Saccharomyces cerevisiae S288C: one gene and its partners. The gene in region 4 interacts genetically with the main gene of each other region. Each region holds a gene or a part of one and is shown on either strand. Other genes may lie near its edges. The genes, in order: HFL1, AFR1, PUT3 and TLD1.

Region 1 (4,686 bases), on a different chromosome or scaffold from region 4:
AACAACAAGAGAAGAGCAACGCAAACTCCACGGATTCTTTTTCGAGCGAGACCAATGGACCCGCTTTCATTGTGCAGGAACGTCATGAGAGAAGAGCCCCCCACTGCTCACTGAAACGCCATTCTGTCCTGCCATCTTCTCAGGAATTGAACAAGCTAGCCCAGACGAAAAGTTTCCAGAAATTGCTTGGCTTGCGGAGAGATGAAGGTGACCATGACTACTTTGACGGTGCTCCTCACAAATATATGGTCACCAAGAAGAAAAAAATATCTAGAACGCAATCATGTAACATCCCAACGTATACTGCTTCACCGAGTCCTAAAACCTCAGGCCAAGTAGTTGAAAATCATAGAAACTTGGCCAAGTCGGCGCCTTCATCTTTTGTTGATGAGGAGATGAGCTTTTCACCGCAAGAGTCTTTGAATTTACAGTTCCAAGCGCACCCGCCCAAACCAAAACGACGTGAAGGTGATATAGGCCACCCCTTCACCAGAACAATGAGCACCAACTATCTATCGTGGCAGCCAACCTTTGGCAGAAACTCCGTCTTCATTGGACTCACAAAGCAACAAAAGGAGGAACTCGGCGGTGTCGAATATCGTGCTTTGAGATTGCTGTGCTGCATTCTCATGGTATACTACATCGGATTCAACATTTTGGCGTTTGTGACCATCGTTCCATGGGCCTGTACGAGGCACCACTACTCAGAGATTATTAGACGAAATGGAGTTTCTCCAACCTGGTGGGGGTTTTTCACTGCAATGAGTGCATTCAGCAACTTGGGTCTGTCTTTGACCGCTGATTCAATGGTTTCCTTTGATACTGCGCCGTATCCGCTGATTTTCATGATGTTCTTCATCATCATAGGCAATACAGGCTTCCCAATTATGTTACGATTTATCATTTGGATCATGTTCAAGACCTCGAGAGACCTATCTCAGTTTAAGGAAAGTCTTGGGTTTCTCTTGGATCATCCGCGCAGGTGTTTTACGTTGCTGTTCCCCAGCGGCCCCACATGGTGGCTGTTTACAACTTTAGTCGTCTTAAACGCTACGGATTGGATTCTTTTCATAATTCTGGATTTCAACTCCGCTGTAGTAAGGCAGGTTGCTAAAGGTTATCGAGCTCTCATGGGCCTCTTCCAGTCTGTATGCACAAGAACTGCTGGATTCAACGTTGTTGACTTAAGTAAATTACACCCGTCCATTCAGGTGTCTTATATGCTAATGATGTACGTTTCGGTCCTGCCGCTGGCGATTTCCATTAGAAGAACGAATGTTTATGAGGAGCAATCGTTGGGACTATACGATAGTGGACAAGATGACGAAAATATCACCCACGAAGACGATATAAAGGAAACAGACCATGATGGCGAATCCGAAGAGCGAGACACTGTATCTACAAAGTCCAAGCCGAAGAAACAGTCCCCAAAATCGTTTGTTGGTGCTCATTTGAGGAGGCAACTCTCTTTTGATTTATGGTACCTATTCCTTGGATTATTTATAATATGCATATGCGAGGGCAGAAAAATCGAAGACGTTAATAAACCTGATTTCAATGTCTTTGCTATATTGTTTGAAGTTGTTAGCGCTTATGGTACAGTGGGTTTGTCATTGGGTTACCCAAACACCAACACATCACTATCTGCCCAGTTCACCGTATTATCGAAGCTAGTCATAATTGCCATGCTAATAAGAGGAAGAAATAGAGGTTTACCATACACTTTGGATCGTGCCATCATGCTGCCAAGTGACAAACTGGAACAAATTGATCGTTTACAAGATATGAAAGCTAAGGGTAAGTTGTTAGCCAAAGTTGGTGAGGATCCAATGACTACTTACGTCAAAAAGAGATCCCACAAACTGAAAAAAATAGCAACAAAGTTTTGGGGGAAGCATTAAAATCAAGTTTACCCCTCTTTACCTACATAAGAGCCAACGTAATTTTCTCTCAGTATTATATGTATTATCTCCGAAGTTTATTATTCTTTAACGAAATATAAAAGAAAAATAAGAAAGATTAAGACCCTAAAAGGTGTACCACTACGATTCAACAAGCACAACGAATCCTATCCGTAATATACTTTTGATTTCTGACTATTCTAGAAAAATTTTAGTTCATTTTTTTTCCCTCTTTTTACTTATTGTATTTTTCACAATTGAATTGCATTTTGTCCCCTACGAAAAAAGGCAGAAAACGAGATCTAAACCACTTTCAGATCAGAATAATAATAATAATAATAACCAACCAAAGCCATCAACAGGTCCACTAGAAGCATCTGCCAAGTTACGACCTAAGCAAAGGTTTGAGTGAAAAGTGAATTGCGACAGTACAATCACAAAAGTATAGAAACATAATTGTTATGGAAAACAAACTACTTTGTTGGTGGTTGTACTGGCCATGCGTGTATTCATCTATTATAGCTACCATAATATCTTTTTACACCATAACTAGACACTTATTAAATTACCGTAAACCATATGAACAAAGACTATCCATACGGATACTATTGCTCGTGCCCATTTTTAGTGTGTCATGCGCAAGTGGCATAATTAAGCCTGAAGCAGCTCAATTTTATGTCGATCCTATCAGAGAATTTTATGAAGCATTCGTTATTTACACTTTTTTCACATTTTTAACACTACTACTAGGAGGCGAGAGGAACATCATTACTGTTTTAAGCTTAAATCACGCCCCCACAAGACATCCGATACCGCTAATAGGTAAAATTTGCAAACCGATAGACTTATCTGATCCTTTTGATTTTCTTTTTGTCAAAAAAGGCATATTACAGTATGTTTGGTTCAAACCATTTTATTGTTTTGGTACATTGATATGCAGTGCATGGAAGCTACCCAAATTCGAAATATTTTTGAACGTTTTTTATAATATTTCAGTGACTTGGTCACTGTATAGTTTAGCACTATTTTGGAAGTGTCTCTATCCGGAATTAACTCCTTATAAACCATGGTTGAAATTTTTATGTGTCAAATTGATTATTTTTGCCTCTTATTGGCAGAGCATCATAATCCAGGGTCTAGTGGTTACTGGAAAGTTGGGTACGGGAAACCAAGATCGAACCTCTGGATATGTGTACAAGAATGGGCTCCTGTGTATAGAGATGGTGCCTTTCGCCATCTTGCATGCAGTAGCTTTCCCTTGGAACAAATACACAGCATTTAGCATACCTTATGGGGCCAGGATGAAATTCATTTACGCTTTGAAAGATTTTCTTGGTTGCGGTGATCTAATATGGGATTTTAAACAGACTTTGTTTGCTGGTCCCTTGTACTATAATTATAGGAACTTCGATCCTGAAGCCATGGATCTATTAAGCACTAGACAACAATCCGGTGCGACTATGGAAAGACTAAAGCATGGGCTAAGATTTACTGATAATGGAAGAAATAGTTATTGGGTGGCATATGGGAGTATAGATAACAACCTTGTTCCGGAATCAATAGAGGAATCATGGGAAGATGATATTGCTGGTCAGAGAACTTTTCCTGAGGATCCAAATTATCCGGTTGTTCACGACTACACGATGGGCCATCGATATAGTAGATCAATGAATGATTTAAGAAGAGATGTTCAAAGTAGGTCATCAATGGCTTGTTAAATGAGTCGTTAAATGTACGTATATACATAGTTACTGCGCTTTCGGTTATATACAAAATAAAACAACATCTACAAGCAATGCTTTTTTTTCAATTATTGTAACTTGGATGCTTATTCTAATAAAATGAAATAAATGCTACTGTAATTTTTTGCCGGAGGATTGGCTATATATGCAGAGTGGGAGTTGGACGATATCACCATTATTATTATTTTTCTATTATTACCATTGGACTTGTCTTTTGCAGCAACAAAAGTGGCAGCAGCAGCAACAGCACCACCACCAATGCATTTTGGCCTTGCCTTTTATAAGTTGTCAAAAAAAGTTGACCTCGAAAAGGGGAAAAAACATCAATTTTTCATTAAAAAATGCTTAGCACATTCATATGCAGTCCAAGAAATGGCAGTGGCTGGTATATTAGCCACTATCCTTGGTTTCAAACCTCGCCAAAACCCCTTCCAACCATGAACCTCCAGTATGGCTCTTGAGGCTCTACCAAAAGTGTTCGCATCCTTCATTATTTCGATGGAGACAGTTTCGCTGCCTCTAACCTGTAATACAGTCTTTATGCAATCCAACGGTGTAGTTAACGCAGCACATGTTGCACCACTTATCCCACCGCAAAGACAATGAATCAATGGATTGTAGGAATTTTGTGGGTTGAAGAATTTGCTGGCAGATTCATATATCATGAAATTGAACGCTGCAAATGGGATATTCATGGCCAATGTTGTGGGATAGGAGTAGTAAAATGCTGCAAAGCCTTCATTTTGATATATTTGCTTAGTAACATTCCAAACTCTTAGATTAGTATCCAATTGTAGTCTTTGTTTAACGGTGTCAAAGGGGTTCATCAATGCATCCGCAGCAATGGTAGCAATGGTACCACTCAGTGCGGTCTTCATTGGTTGATGAGTTTGCATATCTTCAGGGCTTATCAGGCGAGCTTTGCAAAACTCGTATGTACCAAAATATACTGCATGCGCAGGCCCTGCCCCCAGTATTACCGATTGAACACCCTTCCATAAAGCCATCGAACCTTCCATTGTAGATATTTTGGATATCTGAGA
Region 2 (5,257 bases), 400 kb from region 4:
AAGTCCACAGTTTTGATTTGAAGAAAGCTAACGAAAGAATAACTGTGGCAGATATTAGAAATGTGCCGCTACCAGATGAGTCCTGTACTATAGTGGTCTTCTGCCTGGCTCTAATGGGTACAAATTTCCTCGATTTCATAAAAGAAGCTTATAGGATTTTAGCGCCAAGGGGTGAATTATGGATCGCAGAAATTAAATCAAGGTTTAGTGACGGCAAAGGTAATGAATTTGTAGACGCTTTGAAGCTGATGGGATTTTTTCACAAAAAGACCTTCGACGAGAATAAGATGTTTACAAGATTCGAATTTTTCAAGCCACCTGCGGAGATTATTGAAGAGAGAAGGCAGAAATTGGAAAGAAGACAAAAGTTTATTGAAGTTGAAACTGAGAAGGAAGAATTAGAAAAGAAAAGACGGAAAATTGCCGAAGGAAAATGGCTCTTGAAGCCCTGTATTTATAAAAGAAGATAACGACTTCATCCGTCATTTTCATATTTTAATATTGTTTTTTCTTTTGTATACTATATTTATACATATAATTGTATTCTTTTCCTGTAGTACATTGCGTAAAGTAAAAATCATCTAGAAGAAGTACTCCACAATGTTCACATGAGGGACAAGGTTTTATTGTCTCTGGAAAAACGATTGGATATTAGCCAGCCTTGAAAGATTTTCAAAGCCCGGAACAGAAGGAAGAGCGAACCAATTATTAGTATCTTGACCGTCAGATTGTCCACTATTGGGCTCCCATCTATCGCAACAACGAAATCCATACGTGTTCCAGGCGGTCAGACACATTGCAACAATGACCAAAATCAGGTAGAATATTTTCAGTCTTAAAAGACACAACACAGCGAAGACACCCCAGATTACGGGTGTCACATACATCGACCACCAGAATAACTTAGAATCGATGGCATTTATTGGTGGGCCCGGCGCATATTGCTTATATGATTCGAAAGTAAAATTAGAATCTTTGTTCACATCTGTAGAATCATACCACCAGCGTAATTGGACCAGTTTCCGACCTGTAATGTTTTTTGTTAAGTAAAAGTCAAAAGAAAGTAAAAGAACGACAGTGATGAATTGAGGTGTGAAATTCAAAAACATTGATCCTATGATATAAAATACAATGGGAACTGCCTTACCTGCCAGATGAAATGATAGTAGCAACGGGTGCGACGATTTTAAAATTGTGTTGTAGAAATTTCTTGCCTGGTCCATGTTTCATTCGTAATTAGAGCACCAGCAGGTTTATAAAAGCGTATTGAACCGTAAATCCTTTAAGAACCACGCTTTTCTACATTTACATTATGTACAGTTAAAATGGAAACGAAATCCCTTTTCACCCAAAGGCGCATTGCGGACAAATAATAGGTTCGAGGTCAAGGTAAACAGGAAGCAAGATGCAAAAGAAGTAACTGGAATGGAATGTATACATTGATATATAAATATGTATGACGCCTTCTATTGCAAAAAATAAACTGGATTATGTTACGTTAATAACTCAAATTAAATAATGTGTAAAGCACTTGCTGTTCTCATGGACAACCATCTCATTTTTTTTGTAAGAGTTAAGTTCAAGTTTGATCTCATTCATGGCACTATTCATGCTTGGATGTACTTTCATCATCCACAACAATCTGTGGCGATTCATAATGAATTCCGGATTAGCTCTCTCATATGCATTCGATGACCAAGTGCTTGCTAAACATACTTCTTTTGCAAACCGGACATCTTTTTTTATTGGTTTTGGAGGTGTTTCGACTTTATCAAATGAGGAATCTGGCAGCGAATTCCTTCTATCTTCGAATCTGATATACTCCCAGTCATTTCTCAACCTATTTACCATGTCGTTCCCAACATGCATTGGTAAGCTTATTGGACCTGACAGAGACTGTCGCAAATCTGTCGATATGTTGTAGAAGTATCGTGCAGATTCATTGTCATCTAATGAAGGCCTCTTGGACGATCTTGGTGGTGGTTGATTTCTCGTGTCGATTATATATTCACCGAGCTTTGAAAATTCTTCGATTATGGTCTTGTCGATCAAACCTTCATTGACATTATGCTTTTCGGTATCTCGAAAAGAAACCTTGCCATCGTCGTTGTGCGAGGTCTCGTGGAGCTTTTGTCGTATTTCTAATTGCCTTCGCCTCAAATCGTATTTATCATTTTCCTTGGACAACAGATCATCAAAAATTGAATCTGTATCCATTAGAGTTTCGTCGTCGTCAAATTCAATGCCGTCCAGATTTGCATCCATTAATTCAATATCATTCTCAGCTTCAGAATTTCCATCAGAATGCGTAACCATATCATCGATAGGAATTCTCCTTCTTTTTGTATCCTTTTTTCCATGCTTTGTATTCGAGTTTCCTGAAGTACGCCATAATTTCTTCAAAACAGAACCCAGTTTCAACTTCGATTGTGACTTTATACATCTATATTTCTCAGTGCCCAGAATAGTCTTTTTCTTTCTATCAAATAGGCCTGAATTAGTTGTTGGCTTAGTTTTTTCCTTAGTTGATAAATCCAATTTTTCTATATGGCTACCATGTTTTTCATTTACCGTATTTTCGAAGCAATAAGATATAGTTACAGTTTTATTTTCATAACCGTCATCATCATCAGTTTGACTTTCTGGCAAGCTGGTCAGGGTATTAACAGCAGATATCGGAGAGGTTGATGAAACCGAACTTTTTATTGTTGAAGGAACTGAAGTGTTCAGCTCCAAGCTATTTACACCGTAGCCTGTATCATTGGGAGGAATATGTATGACTGATGTCCCATTATGAGGCCCCACAAAATCTTTTGATAAATTGCGACCTTTCTTCTCGCTGAATTTGAATAAAGAAGAGTCTCTTGAATTTAATTCAGGCTTTTTCAAGCTGTGGGTGCATTTTCCATCAAGTTTTGGCTTGTATATTTCGCCATTGGGAAATTGAAAGCTTCTTTTCATTTTAGAGCGCTGCAGTTGATAAGGTGTTAATTCTTTATATACTCCGAAAGTGTACTGTGGCTTCTGGTATTGGCTCACATAATCTTGATCATTATTGAACCCCTCATGGTAAGAGTTTCTTTCCCTAACTGTGAATAGCGCAGTTCTCTTTCTTTGCTGGGCGGCTGTCATTGAACAGGACCTTACTGGAAATTTTCTAGCTGCTGTCACAGACCTACAGTCTATCTCGCCACTATAAATGTGTCTCTTCTTATTCGGGTTCGAATAATTGTAATCAGCATCATTCCTAACATTGAGTTTAGAGAATGTACTAGACAAAGCAAACAAATTCGAAGTTGAGTTCGACCTAGGTATCAATCGCTCCGGTATGGGTTGGTTTTCTTGTGCAGATAGATATGAGCCCTCCATTATTATCAGCAGTTTGTGGTAACACCTAATATGGCCTATCTGGATAATGAGATAGCCCCTTCCCTTTTTCCAGTTTTCTTTTTCTTTTGTTCCTATATTATATGAAGCCGGTATATATATTTATGTAGAATAAGCTTTTAGCAGGCGTCCCATTAAAGTCGTCAAGGTAAGTCGGGCCCAATAAACTTGTTGAAAGGGTGAGAGAGAAAGTGCTAAAAGGAAGCCAAACCTTTGTGAAACCTGGGGTATGTCGAGCATATAATCAAAAATAAGACGTACTACTCAAAAAGGAAATGCATGGGAAAAAGAGGCAGCGAAAAAGGAAAAGTGAGTGCCCATCTATTTTTAGGCGCTGTTCCGTTCAGGGATCGTACTTGTTTCATATCAGTGGTAGCAACGTGGTAGCACGGAAGAATTTGACAAGGAGCTAAACGTCATATCGCCAAGGAACGGTTTTTCGTTTCAAGGTCGTTGGAGAGCTTTTCCATGATCGGTATGGAGCTTAAATAAAGGGAAAGGAACAATGATACGTTTATGCTTATTCGGCAAATAGAAAACATGTTTAATACAGAAAATGCAGTAATATTATATGGGAAGAATCAAGACTCTTGCCTTCCACCTCTTTAGAGTAAATTCTTATATAGGGCTGAACATATACACACTATACCGATAGAAAGGTTATAATTTAAAGGGAAAAATGCACATAAAGAATACTACTTAATTTTGATTTTTGGTTCTGGTGCCGTTGTTTTTATTTTTTCTCGTCTTTTATCTCTTTTAAACAATAACGTATCTGATTGGAATATGAATCAACTTGATGGCGTAACCAATGATACCGACTGCAATAAAACCAATACCAACAGCCTTGACAATCTTGGTGTATTCCTTCAAATCAGGTTTCTTACACTTGGCCAAGAATTGAGTACCTTCTCTGACAAATTCTACAGGTGCTTCAACCAGCTTTTCAACCTGGTTGTTGCTCTGCTTTTTCTCTTCACCTTTTTCACTAGCTCTAGCCATTTTATTTTTCAATGTTATACGTGATTTTATCTTTGGTAAACTAGCGTAGTGCGGACAATGGACACGAGTTATGGACAATACACGCCAATCTGTACTATTTTCCTTGTTTAATTTAATCACTAGTATTCTTTCATTTCAAAACGAAAAAAAAATAAAAAAAATGTTGCGAGGAAAAAAAGGCGACGTGTTTCGCATTCCGCCAATATCCACAGAGGGTAATGAATTTTTCGTACTATAGATATACAACTACAATTTATATGAGCGACTTACGATTACTTACATACTACCGCCAGGAAGAATCAAAATCCCTTCCACTCTTCCTCTTCCTCTTCTTCAGATTCGTTACTGGAATCATTATGTTGCGTTTCGCCTTCAAGAATATCCCAGGAAACAAGTCTGGTGTCACTGAATAGGTCTTCTTTGATCTTCTCTCTCAACACCTTACTGTTATTGTAATCTGCCACGATATCTTGGAAAATTGCGATAACATCGGCTAGTGGCGTTTTTTTTGCGCTCTCTGCAATTTTGCGCATCTCTTCCTCTTTGTTTTCCTCGTCTTCATCGTCTTCATCTCCATCTTTAAGCAATCTTTCCCATTCGTCCAGCAGAATATCGACGATATGAATTGGAATCCCTGTGTAGACCTTTGGACTTCCACTCAGAGGTAACCACCTCAACACTTTCTTAATATACTCGTCGACTAATTTTTTGTCCCAGTTTCTGGACTGCAAATACTTCAATTGACTGAATAATACCCTTCTTATCAATAGAAGATACTTATCCAACCTATATCTGTCAATGTTAAACCATTCAAAGCACATGACCTTCCAAAACCCTCTGCTAAACTTTATAAATGCTTTATCGTTTG
Region 3 (6,320 bases), on a different chromosome or scaffold from region 4:
TGGTGTTGATATGTACGATCCATTATTTTTACTGCTATTAATAATCCATAACAAAGAGCTGGTAAAAATGGTCAAAGATGACGAGGGCAATGTAACATACAGATATGAATTTGAAAATTTCCTTGATTGCAAAATATTTCAGTTTATTATTTGCTCATTAAGCGATTGTCATACCGTTGCCAATATAAGTTACGAACATTTATCAAATTTAGCTTCTTCTTTGGAGAAGAAAACTGCCCAGATGAATCTTGAAAAGCAAATAACTAGCAAGGATAATGAAAGAAAAGAATCTGATAGCGATTTAATCAAATATAATAGCATTTACCAAGTGTTGATTAAAAGGATTTTATACCAGAGACAACAAAATCAAGATCCTATCAATCCGTTAATTTGGTTTTCTATCTCTAGAATTGTTGATCTATTGGGAAGTCCAACTGCGCCCTTACATGAGAAGGCATACCGCTGGGTATTATCAAATTCTACCATACGTAGTTGGGACATCCCTATGGTATCTGATGTGATGATGTCCTACAATAAGAGACAACAAGATGACAATAAGAAAGAAATTGATATGGAAATATACTATGGAGAATTGAGTTGGGTTTTAACAACCATTTGTAAGGGAATTAAAACGGATGAAGATTACAAGATGTTAGAGAAGAAAGGTGTATTTGAATGGTTGTTAAACTTGATCAATATGCCATACTTGAAAGAAAGATTACGCGAACTAATCTATTTTATTTTTTACAAAGTCCAAAGGGTAGCAGATGATGGTGGTTTGAATTTAATTAGCAGAAACGGTATTGTGTCGTTTTTCGAGGTTTTGAACAATAACATCAAATCTAGACTACCACAGGACGATATACTGAACAACATTGGTACTTTACGGAACGAAAACAGAGGTACATTAAATACTACTTTGAGGTTAGCCCAAGAACAAAACGGAATTGAAAAACTACTATTAGGCTACAACGAGCTTGTCAAATCACAAAAAAGGCTAATATTATGGACAGAAGGTGATAGCGACAATGTTGTCAAGAGGCTACGTAAATGAGCTGTCTTGTGATAGATATTTTAAATAAGATTTGAAGAATTAAATGTCCACTTTTCTATATAATGTGCGAAATGTATAATATATGCATAAGAAAACAAAGAAATCAGTATTTTCTTCTTTGTCTTTGTAATGGTGTTATGGTCCTAAATAATCAGTAAAGTCAATTTCACTACCAGCAGCTGCAGTTGGATCCATAGTATTTCCCAGCCACATTGCTTGATCAGTGATTTCCTTCCAAAGTTTTTCATCGGAATGATCAATATTGCCTAAATCCTCCAACAATTGTTGTAAATCGTCATCATTTAGATTATGAACGGAATCCAACTGATCCATGTTTTTTTCCATCACCTGAGAGCCCTTTTCAGTTAGCGTGGTTTGGTATGAATTTTCCAAGCTCGCAGTTATGATATCAAAAAAAGTAGAAGGTTCCGAGTTATTGACGTTAATATCATTAACATCATTATTACCATTACTATAATCAGTCAGCGTTGGTTTCGCGCCTTCCGGAAGTATGCTAACAATGTTCGATATAGATTCGTTCTTGATCATATTTGTATTGGTGTTTGATTTATCACAGTCTATAATTGAAGGGTCAATGCGATCGCCATCTTTGTGAGGTTTACACTTTTCGGTTTCTCTTTTGGGTTCATTGCTATCTTCTACTATGTTATCGTTTTCACAATTCATAGAATCAAATTTCAAAATATCGTTATATTTAGTAATCAAGTCATTCATTATGCCGTGGAAATCCAAATTTGCCATTAATGTTAATAATTGTGCTCTTCTTAAGCCTGCTGGAATGTTGCCTAAGTTTCTCATTTGTGTGAAAATTTCCAGAGAATGATCCAAATGATATAGTGTTTGTTCATGAATACCAAAAGCAGTGTTGAATAGTAATAAAGTACAAGAAGAAGTAAAAAGATACTCTCTGTCCATATAACTAAACATAGCAAGCATACTATTCTGTAATAAACTCCACAGAGACCTAATAGTATTCACAGAAGCATGCAAAGAACATGTTAATAAGGAAGATATTGTGGCAGAATAGTTTTGTAAGTTGACGAAAGTATTGCTCGTTTTGAACCTTTTCAATTGAATGGATGCAAAATGAAATAATAAAGGTCTCACGGCCAAGTTTATTCCTTGAAAATATTCCGTAAACATATTGGTTGACAATCTCGATATTTTGAAATCTTCATCCTTTTGCGTAAAATCCACCTGTAAGGAATCGGACAAATTGTTCCTCCATTCCAACAACTGCTTGATGACAACTTTCAAAGTAATTATGATGTTTGTCTCAGGTTGCCTTTGATATAATTTGCTCAAAATTTGTGCATTGATTTTCACAATAGTAACGCAGTTAGAAATCAATTCTGCCTTTCTGAAAACATAGTGACTATTTTTCTCTTCGATAGTTTCATCATCAATATCCGCTGGCAGTGCTGTAGAGATTGTATAATCAGTGAAACTTAATGGTAACCCAGCTTTTGAGCTAAGCATTCGTTCAAACATGTAAACTGTCCACCAAAGTCTCCTATGATGCTCGATTTCATACCTGGATAGAGTGTCGCTTTGAGAATCAACATGTAAGCCTAGAATTAAGCACGTCCTTAGGGCTTGACCGAAGTAAAAATAAGAGGCTAAAGTGTAATCAGCCACCTGTAAGAAGAACGCGTATAACAACAGGACTTCAATACCGCCTTTCTTAGTCACATTTTCTAATCTTTCACTTGAGAACAAACAATTAAAAATTTTAGAACCCATTTGAAAAAATTTTGAACCGGGCAATTTTGGCTGATTAGAATAATTCTTCAACATTTCATTATTGATGGAACCCAGATACATTTCACCTACTGCTAAAATTAACAAAATTTTGCAAAACCAAACAGCTTGTAAAATTGGATCATTCTCATTGTCCAAAGCTTTTTTGGTATTATCATAGTATAGCCATTTATTTTCCAAGTACAATTTGTTAATGCCACATTTAACCAGGCCTTCGTTGAAAAAGTAAAAACAACCATCGTTATAATTTATAAAGCAGTCAATTAATAGTTTTGTGTAATTATACGAAGGCAACTGAAACTGTATTACCTCTTCCTGGCCACTACTACCATCCGTATCGCTTTTCAAAATTATCTTAAACATCAATGGAGATAAATTATCGTTGATTGAGTTTAAGTTGACAATAGTCGATATAGGGTTCAAAAAATTATAGGACGAGAAAAGATAGTTGTTTGAATTGATAAAAGAACTTATAGCCGGGTTCAGGTTTGAATTTAAAATCTTGTTTTTGGTGTTTATTGGCAAAGGTCGAAAATTCTTGACCGAAATATACTTTGTAACCAAAGATTGAATTTCTAACCCAAATAATGTCATTGAAGAAGATCCAACAAAATAATGGAATCCATTGTGAGATTCTATGAGCCTACCACTTCTTTGAGCAAAATTTGTTGATATTTCTTCATCATCTTCATCATCATCCTCATGACCATTGGCACCGTTGCCATTTTCGCCATTAGCATTAGCTGGTTGTTTAAAGATGCTGATGGCCTTTTTGTAGTATTTTTCCAAACTATGATCATAGCTCCTATTATTTGTGATTCTGTTGCTGTTGTCATCGTCGTTATCGTTATCGGACGCAGTGTTACTATTGGACATGAGGTCAAATATAGGAGCCGCCGGAGCGCTGGATACTTCCAATGTGTCACTTGAGGGTGCATTGTTTATATGCCTCTCGTCATCATCGCTGTTATCCTTACCACGTACACTCACTGGTCTCTCCAAGAGCAAAGCTTTCAGGCGGTTATTCTCTTCAGTTTTATCATTCAAGTCTTTTTGCAGTTGTTGCAGATACTTTGTCGACACAACAATTTTTTTTGACGGCTCCAAGTACTCACATATGGCATTGCTCGTAACACATTTTTGGCAAGGGTTACCACCAGGACATTTTATATGACGTTTCCTACAAGAAAGGCATGCGACAGAAGATCTCTGCTGCCTTTTTTGCGGTTGTTTATTAACGTAGGCTGGTTGCTTAGATTGTATCGAATGCCTACTGCCTTGGTCGGTCACCATTAAACTCGTTAAGATCACTGCAATTATCCTATCAATGAGTTAGTTGGACCAGTGTCGTATTTATCGTTATTGTAATGGTTACTTACTAATTGCTGCTTAGAAAGCTTTAAATTGCCGCCGAAGTCAAGTATATCATCAAGCACCTGGTGGATGTTTTCATTTTTACTCCAATATTCGCCACCTCATTGCCGCGGAGAAATATCGTTTATAATGACATATCCGATGACTCAATCCCATAAACGAGGTATGGGTGTATATCACGTGATATATTATGCTCACGTGATGACCACGTGACTAATGAGCGGGTTACAAGAATTATTTTCTCTTCGATTTGATTGGATATTTGTCTTGATGCCCCCAAAAAAGTAAAAGATACACCAATTACCACTTGCTGCTTAGCGTAGGTGTAAAACATATTTCTACTAGTACAATACTTTTCTATATAAGTTTATATATTCATATTGACACGTAACGCAAAAGAACAATCTTAGGATTTAAAAGAAATTTTTCGTGCACTTAATTGCAGAATCACCTAATTATATTTTTGTTCGACTATGTCTTTGGCCAAATCCGCTGCTAACAAACTTGACTGGGCAAAAGTCATCTCTTCTCTACGTATAACAGGGTCGACTGCCACTCAATTATCGAGTTTTAAAAAGAGAAACGATGAGGCACGTAGACAATTACTAGAGCTGCAAAGTCAACCCACCGAAGTAGATTTCAGTCATTATAGATCTGTGTTGAAAAACACTTCAGTCATTGACAAGATAGAATCATACGTTAAGCAATATAAGCCGGTCAAAATCGATGCCTCCAAACAATTACAAGTGATTGAGTCTTTTGAAAAGCACGCAATGACCAACGCCAAGGAGACAGAATCCTTAGTTTCCAAGGAGTTAAAGGATTTGCAAAGCACCTTAGATAATATTCAATCTGCAAGACCTTTCGATGAATTAACTGTTGACGACCTGACAAAGATCAAACCTGAAATTGATGCTAAGGTAGAAGAGATGGTCAAGAAGGGTAAATGGGACGTACCTGGTTACAAGGACAGATTCGGCAATTTGAATGTGATGTAGTACCCTTTACCTCTATATATTACGCACCATATTCTATTATTTTTTTCACAGGTTTATATAACTGGCAAATATTATAATTAAACATTCTTACTGTCATATATACACAAATGTGCGCCTGCATATCCTTACGCTAAGAAAATCTTGTACGTTACATATATTTCAAAAATATGAAGGCTGATGTAAAGTTGTCTCTTGAGAAATATAGAAAAAAGAGTAGAGGGAAATGAACAAAGAATTGGCTTCTAAGTTTTTATCAAGCATCAAGCATGAACGTGAACAAGACATTCAAACAACTTCTAGGCTATTAACAACGCTATCTATCCAACAATTGGTGCAAAATGGCTTGGCAATAAACAACATACATCTAGAAAACATAAGATCCGGTCTCATTGGCAAATTATATATGGAACTGGGACCTAACTTGGCGGTTAACGACAAAATTCAAAGGGGTGATATTAAGGTTGGTGATATTGTTTTGGTACGCCCTGCAAAAACCAAAGTAAATACCAAGACTAAGCCCAAAGTCAAAAAGGTGTCTGAAGACTCCAATGGCGAGCAAGCGGAATGCTCAGGCGTTGTCTACAAAATGAGTGATACTCAAATCACCATAGCTCTAGAAGAATCTCAAGATGTTATTGCTACCACATTTTATTCTTATAGCAAACTTTACATTTTAAAGACTACCAATGTCGTCACGTATAATAGAATGGAATCCACAATGAGAAAACTGTCTGAAATTAGTTCACCCATACAAGACAAAATTATACAATACTTGGTAAACGAACGCCCCTTCATCCCCAATACAAACAGCTTTCAAAACATTAAATCTTTTTTAAACCCGAATCTGAATGACTCCCAGAAAACTGCCATTAATTTTGCCATTAACAATGACTTGACCATTATACATGGTCCTCCTGGTACGGGTAAAACATTCACATTAATTGAATTGATCCAGCAATTGCTAATTAAAAATCCTGAGGAGAGAATCTTAATTTGTGGGCCTTCCAATATTTCTGTGGATACGATTCTGGAGAGGCTAACGCCTCTTGTGCCGAATAATTTATTATTAAGAATCGGTCATCCTGCTAGGCTATTAGACTCTAATAAAAGAC
Region 4 (3,726 bases):
CACATTGGCAACATTAGCACCCCCGGATCGAATAGAGAAGTCGCCGAATCGACTAGGAACGTGGCTGTTGCAGAGGGCCATAATACAATTTTATCAAACGAAGATAGTATACTCAAGGGAAAAGAGAAGGGAAAAGAGGAGGAAAAGGAGAAGGGAGAAGAAAAGGGAGTTAACAGCTTAAAAGGCGCCGCTGTGAAAGTTGTTGCGAAGTCATTGAAGAATAATCGCATTCCCGTCACTGTGAAGAGAAATGAGCCTTCAAACAATTTATTTGACGTTTTAAACTGCGACGAAAGCGAGGAAGAAGAAGAGCAAGATGTCGAAACCAATACGTCGAATCAAGAAAGGAAGAACCAGGGCGGTAATACTGAAGTGCCGGAGGCTCAGCGTGACAGTGCAGATAGGTTACCTGCCAAGGACGACGGTGGATACAAATCTGCCTTTGGCACTGATAGTTGTGGTCTATTTGCAGCTGACGCTAAAGATGAAAAAAAGCAGGTTCATCCATCTAGACAAGAATTAAGTTTTACGTAGTGTATAGCGGTAATGTTTATTAACTCTTTCGGCAAAGTGCGTTTGGGCTCGCAATGAACAGACACCACCATTGCTTCTTCTGCGCTTATTTGCCTTTGTTGTATATCTAGTTCTCAAAATGGAGTCATTCATCAGTCGATGTGTGGGCGGAAATGACGTTCATCTAGCAATGGCACACTAGTTTTTACTCAACAATTCAAACTCAATGGAAAGCCAGGAAGTTAGCGCCGGGAAACTTCAGGACAATATAAAAACAGGACTAACGGAAGAAAATAATGTGGGCCTTTTTGAGCAACGCTGACGGTAAGTAGTTTCCTACGATCGTACAATCCCGGAAAATTGTAGTGGTGCAAGAAGGGAAAAGAATGATGGCGAAAAATGCACGCGCGTAAATAATGATTTGTCGAGTCCTATTGACCACAAAACCCGCGGAAACCTAGTTAGCCCAAAAGGAAATGGATAGCATATGAAAAACGAAACGAAACGTCCTTTTGCACGGCAGAAAGAGCTTAGTAGGACCCGGGACAAATGCAAGTTAGATTCCTTGATTCCCGAATGCTCGGTCTTGCGTTTCGCCGTGGCTGCATGGAAGGTCATCGTACGGGTACGGGCAGTCTGGCTGAGTGGTGCCGCCAAAGTGCAATAGCTGTCAGTAGGGCGTGAGGAATGTAAAAGGCAAGAAAACATGTACGAGGGAAGAGAAGGGGGCAAAAGAAAGATAATAGGAACGGTGTAGATGAACTAGAAAAGGTTCAAGAGATGATAAACGTGAAGGGAGTGTCATATCTACCGACATAAAGATAGAGATCTTTTTTTTTCCTTTATTTTTTTTTTTGATTTTTTTTTTTGATTTTCTTGATATTAGTTTTTAGAAGTCCTTTGACGGGGCAGCCGGAGAATATATACCAACGGCATTCTATTGTCTTTTTTTCTTCCTTCCTTGCCAGGCATCTGCATCCATTATTGCCTTTAGTTACAATGTTTTTTTTCCCGAAGCTTAGAAAACTTATAGGTTCAACTGTGATCGATCACGATACCAAGAACTCATCAGGAAAGGAAGAGATCATGTCAAATAGCCGATTAGCACTTGTTATTATCAACCACGCCTTTGATAAGGTACTATCTTTGACGTGGCACTGCGGGATATTATCCGAAATAAGATCAGGACTGATGTTAATGTTTGGCATTTTCCAGTTGATGTGCTCTTTGGGTGTCATCGTATTGCTGTTGCCTATTATCATACTGGACGCGATCGATCTATTCCTCTACATGTGCAGGTTGCTTGATTACGGTTGCAAGTTATTCCACTACAATAGATCATCATTACCGGTGGCAGATGGAAAAGAAAAGACCAGTGGTCCCATAAGCGGAAAGGAGGAAATAGTTATTGATGAGGAGATAATTAATATGCTAAATGAATCCTCAGAATCATTGATCAATCATACTACAGCTGGTCTGGAATATGATATTAGTTCAGGTAGTGTTAACAAAAGTAGGCGTTTGAATTCAACTAGTACAGTTACATTTGTGAAGCAGAATAAACTTGTTAATGAAAGGAGGGAAGACGCCTACTACGAGGAAGAGGATGATGATTTCCTATCAAATCCGAATTATGATAAGATATCATTGATCGAAAAATCATTCACGAGTCGTTTTGAAGTGGCTTGTGAGCAGAAAGCTGCTTAAATTGATAATCAAGGTCAAGGCAACGCAACGCCACTGCTAAGAACACTTATTGCTACAGAAAGGAAACTAAAAATAATTATAAGGCTAGAGAGAAATAAAAACAAAATAAGAGAGATAATATGGGTAAGGGTCTGCCACCCATCTGATAAAAGGCTGTTCTATCTTTTGGAACTCTACAACACAGGTAAACGGATGATACTGGCTATATTTATATAGATAAACAAACTTGCAGGACAGATAGTTAAGCGTCTATATCATGTGTATTTTAAGCGAAGAAAAAAGTACAAAAATGATAAAAGGCAAAAAAGATGAGAAGTTTTTTTTGTGATAAAATTAATTATTAAAAAATACACACGTAGTTAAAATTAACAGCGGGGGAGGAAACCTTAAGAGAAAGAGAAACAAAAAAAAAGAAAGGAAACAAATAAAAATGAGGGTGACCCGAACATGTTGATACCGTTTCCTAATACTGCTTCCTTATTTCATTTGATAGTTACTTTCGTTTATTGAATGAGCTTAATCTTGTAGGACAATGTACAAGGCATATAGCATACCTGGGAACCAAGCCAAAATGGTCAAAATGATATCCACTATACAGTCAGTACCCCACCCACGGGCTAGAAAAACGGCGACTGGTGGTAAGAAAAGGGATAATATAATGTTAATGATCTTGGCAGAATCCATTGTTGTATTGTGCTGTGCTGTTTAGTTCAAAATGTATAATCAATTGTATTATACTGGCGAAAAACAACAACCGATAGTAAATTTTCTTCTTTTTTTCCTTTCCCTCTTCCAAAACAAAAACACTCACTTCCTCTTTTGTATTTATAGAGGCGCCCATCGCAAAATAACCAGGACCCCCTTTTGAGGGCGTGGTTAAAGGGCACCCAGAGCCCACACCCATTGCATCTTCCGCTATTAGGGGACTGCGGAAGTGAGGGGAGCAGTAAATAGTGATCTTTGTAATTTTCTGCAAAATCCCTCTCGCTGTCTCGGGTTTTTCGATTCAGAGGACCTTCCCCCCCCCATGTTCCGAGATCGGTTTTGGTGGTTAGAAGGCCGGAGGAAAGACATTTACCGCTTGCGCGCGGCTTCTTCTGTATGCTGTGCTCAACTACCAAGAGAAGGATTACGCGCACGGATACGTTGGATGTCTGCGATTGGTGATGCTAAGAACTAAAGGTATTTCGTCATCGTATGGTTTGATCTTCGCTACCCTTGACTCTTTACTGCGATAACGGTACCACGTTCCCATAAAATTCTTATTACTAAATCTCTATAAAGCTGCAACAGCTAGTTTGTATATATAAATCATTGGCGCTTCTTCCTCAATTCCTTGGGAATTTGGAGCTCCTCTATTAAAACTGATGTCCATGGGATAGTATTGATACAATCGAAGAGTCTCCAAAAAAACCATCGGGAAGGTTTCTTTTTAGTATCTTCAGGATACTGAATCCGGCTGCCAATCCAATCCTAATCTTTGGTAAACTTGTGCCTGACATTGCG

Evidence for each region.
Region 1: mutations in TLD1 (region 4) and HFL1 together harm fitness more than expected from each alone (negative genetic interaction), as found in Saccharomyces cerevisiae (one large-scale study listed by BioGRID).
Region 2: mutations in TLD1 (region 4) and AFR1 together harm fitness more than expected from each alone (negative genetic interaction), as found in Saccharomyces cerevisiae (one large-scale study listed by BioGRID).
Region 3: mutations in TLD1 (region 4) and PUT3 together harm fitness more than expected from each alone (negative genetic interaction), as found in Saccharomyces cerevisiae (one large-scale study listed by BioGRID).

The regions. Positions count from the first base shown.
Region 1 is NC_001143.9:528,584-533,269, forward strand, and holds HFL1 (Hfl1p), read left to right. Parts: upstream 1-2,362; coding exon 2,363-3,619; downstream 3,620-4,686. Other genes in the region: TRK2 (Trk2p), read left to right, coding at 1-1,901; MRS4 (Fe(2+) transporter), read right to left, coding at 3,967-4,686. UniProt on the Saccharomyces cerevisiae protein: Vacuole membrane protein that recruits ATG8 to facilitate the degradation of vacuolar integral membrane proteins during early-stationary vacuole turnover (EVT) when cells enter stationary phase.
Region 2 is NC_001136.10:612,782-618,038, forward strand, and holds AFR1 (Afr1p), read right to left. Parts: upstream 3,370-5,257; coding exon 1,507-3,369; downstream 1-1,506. Other genes in the region: RRP8 (25S rRNA (adenine645-N1)-methyltransferase), read left to right, coding at 1-470; TVP23 (Tvp23p), read right to left, coding at 624-1,223; translocon subunit SSS1, read right to left, coding at 4,147-4,389; RRP1 (Rrp1p), read right to left, coding at 4,689-5,257. UniProt on the Saccharomyces cerevisiae protein: Acts in conjunction with the alpha-factor receptor to promote morphogenesis and adaptation.
Region 3 is NC_001143.9:406,353-412,672, reverse strand, and holds PUT3 (Put3p), read right to left. Parts: upstream 4,130-6,320; coding exon 1,190-4,129; downstream 1-1,189. Other genes in the region: URB1 (Urb1p), read left to right, coding at 1-1,054; ATP7 (F1F0 ATP synthase subunit d), read left to right, coding at 4,684-5,208; ATP-dependent 5'-3' DNA helicase HCS1, read left to right, coding at 5,432-6,320.
Region 4 is NC_001136.10:1,010,740-1,014,465, forward strand, and holds TLD1 (triglyceride-associated lipolysis regulator TLD1), read left to right. Parts: upstream 1-1,512; coding exon 1,513-2,220; downstream 2,221-3,726. Other genes in the region: DON1 (Don1p), read left to right, coding at 1-534; YDR274C (uncharacterized protein), read right to left, coding at 850-1,221; PMP3 (Pmp3p), read right to left, coding at 2,737-2,904; MTH1 (Mth1p), read right to left, coding at 3,662-3,726.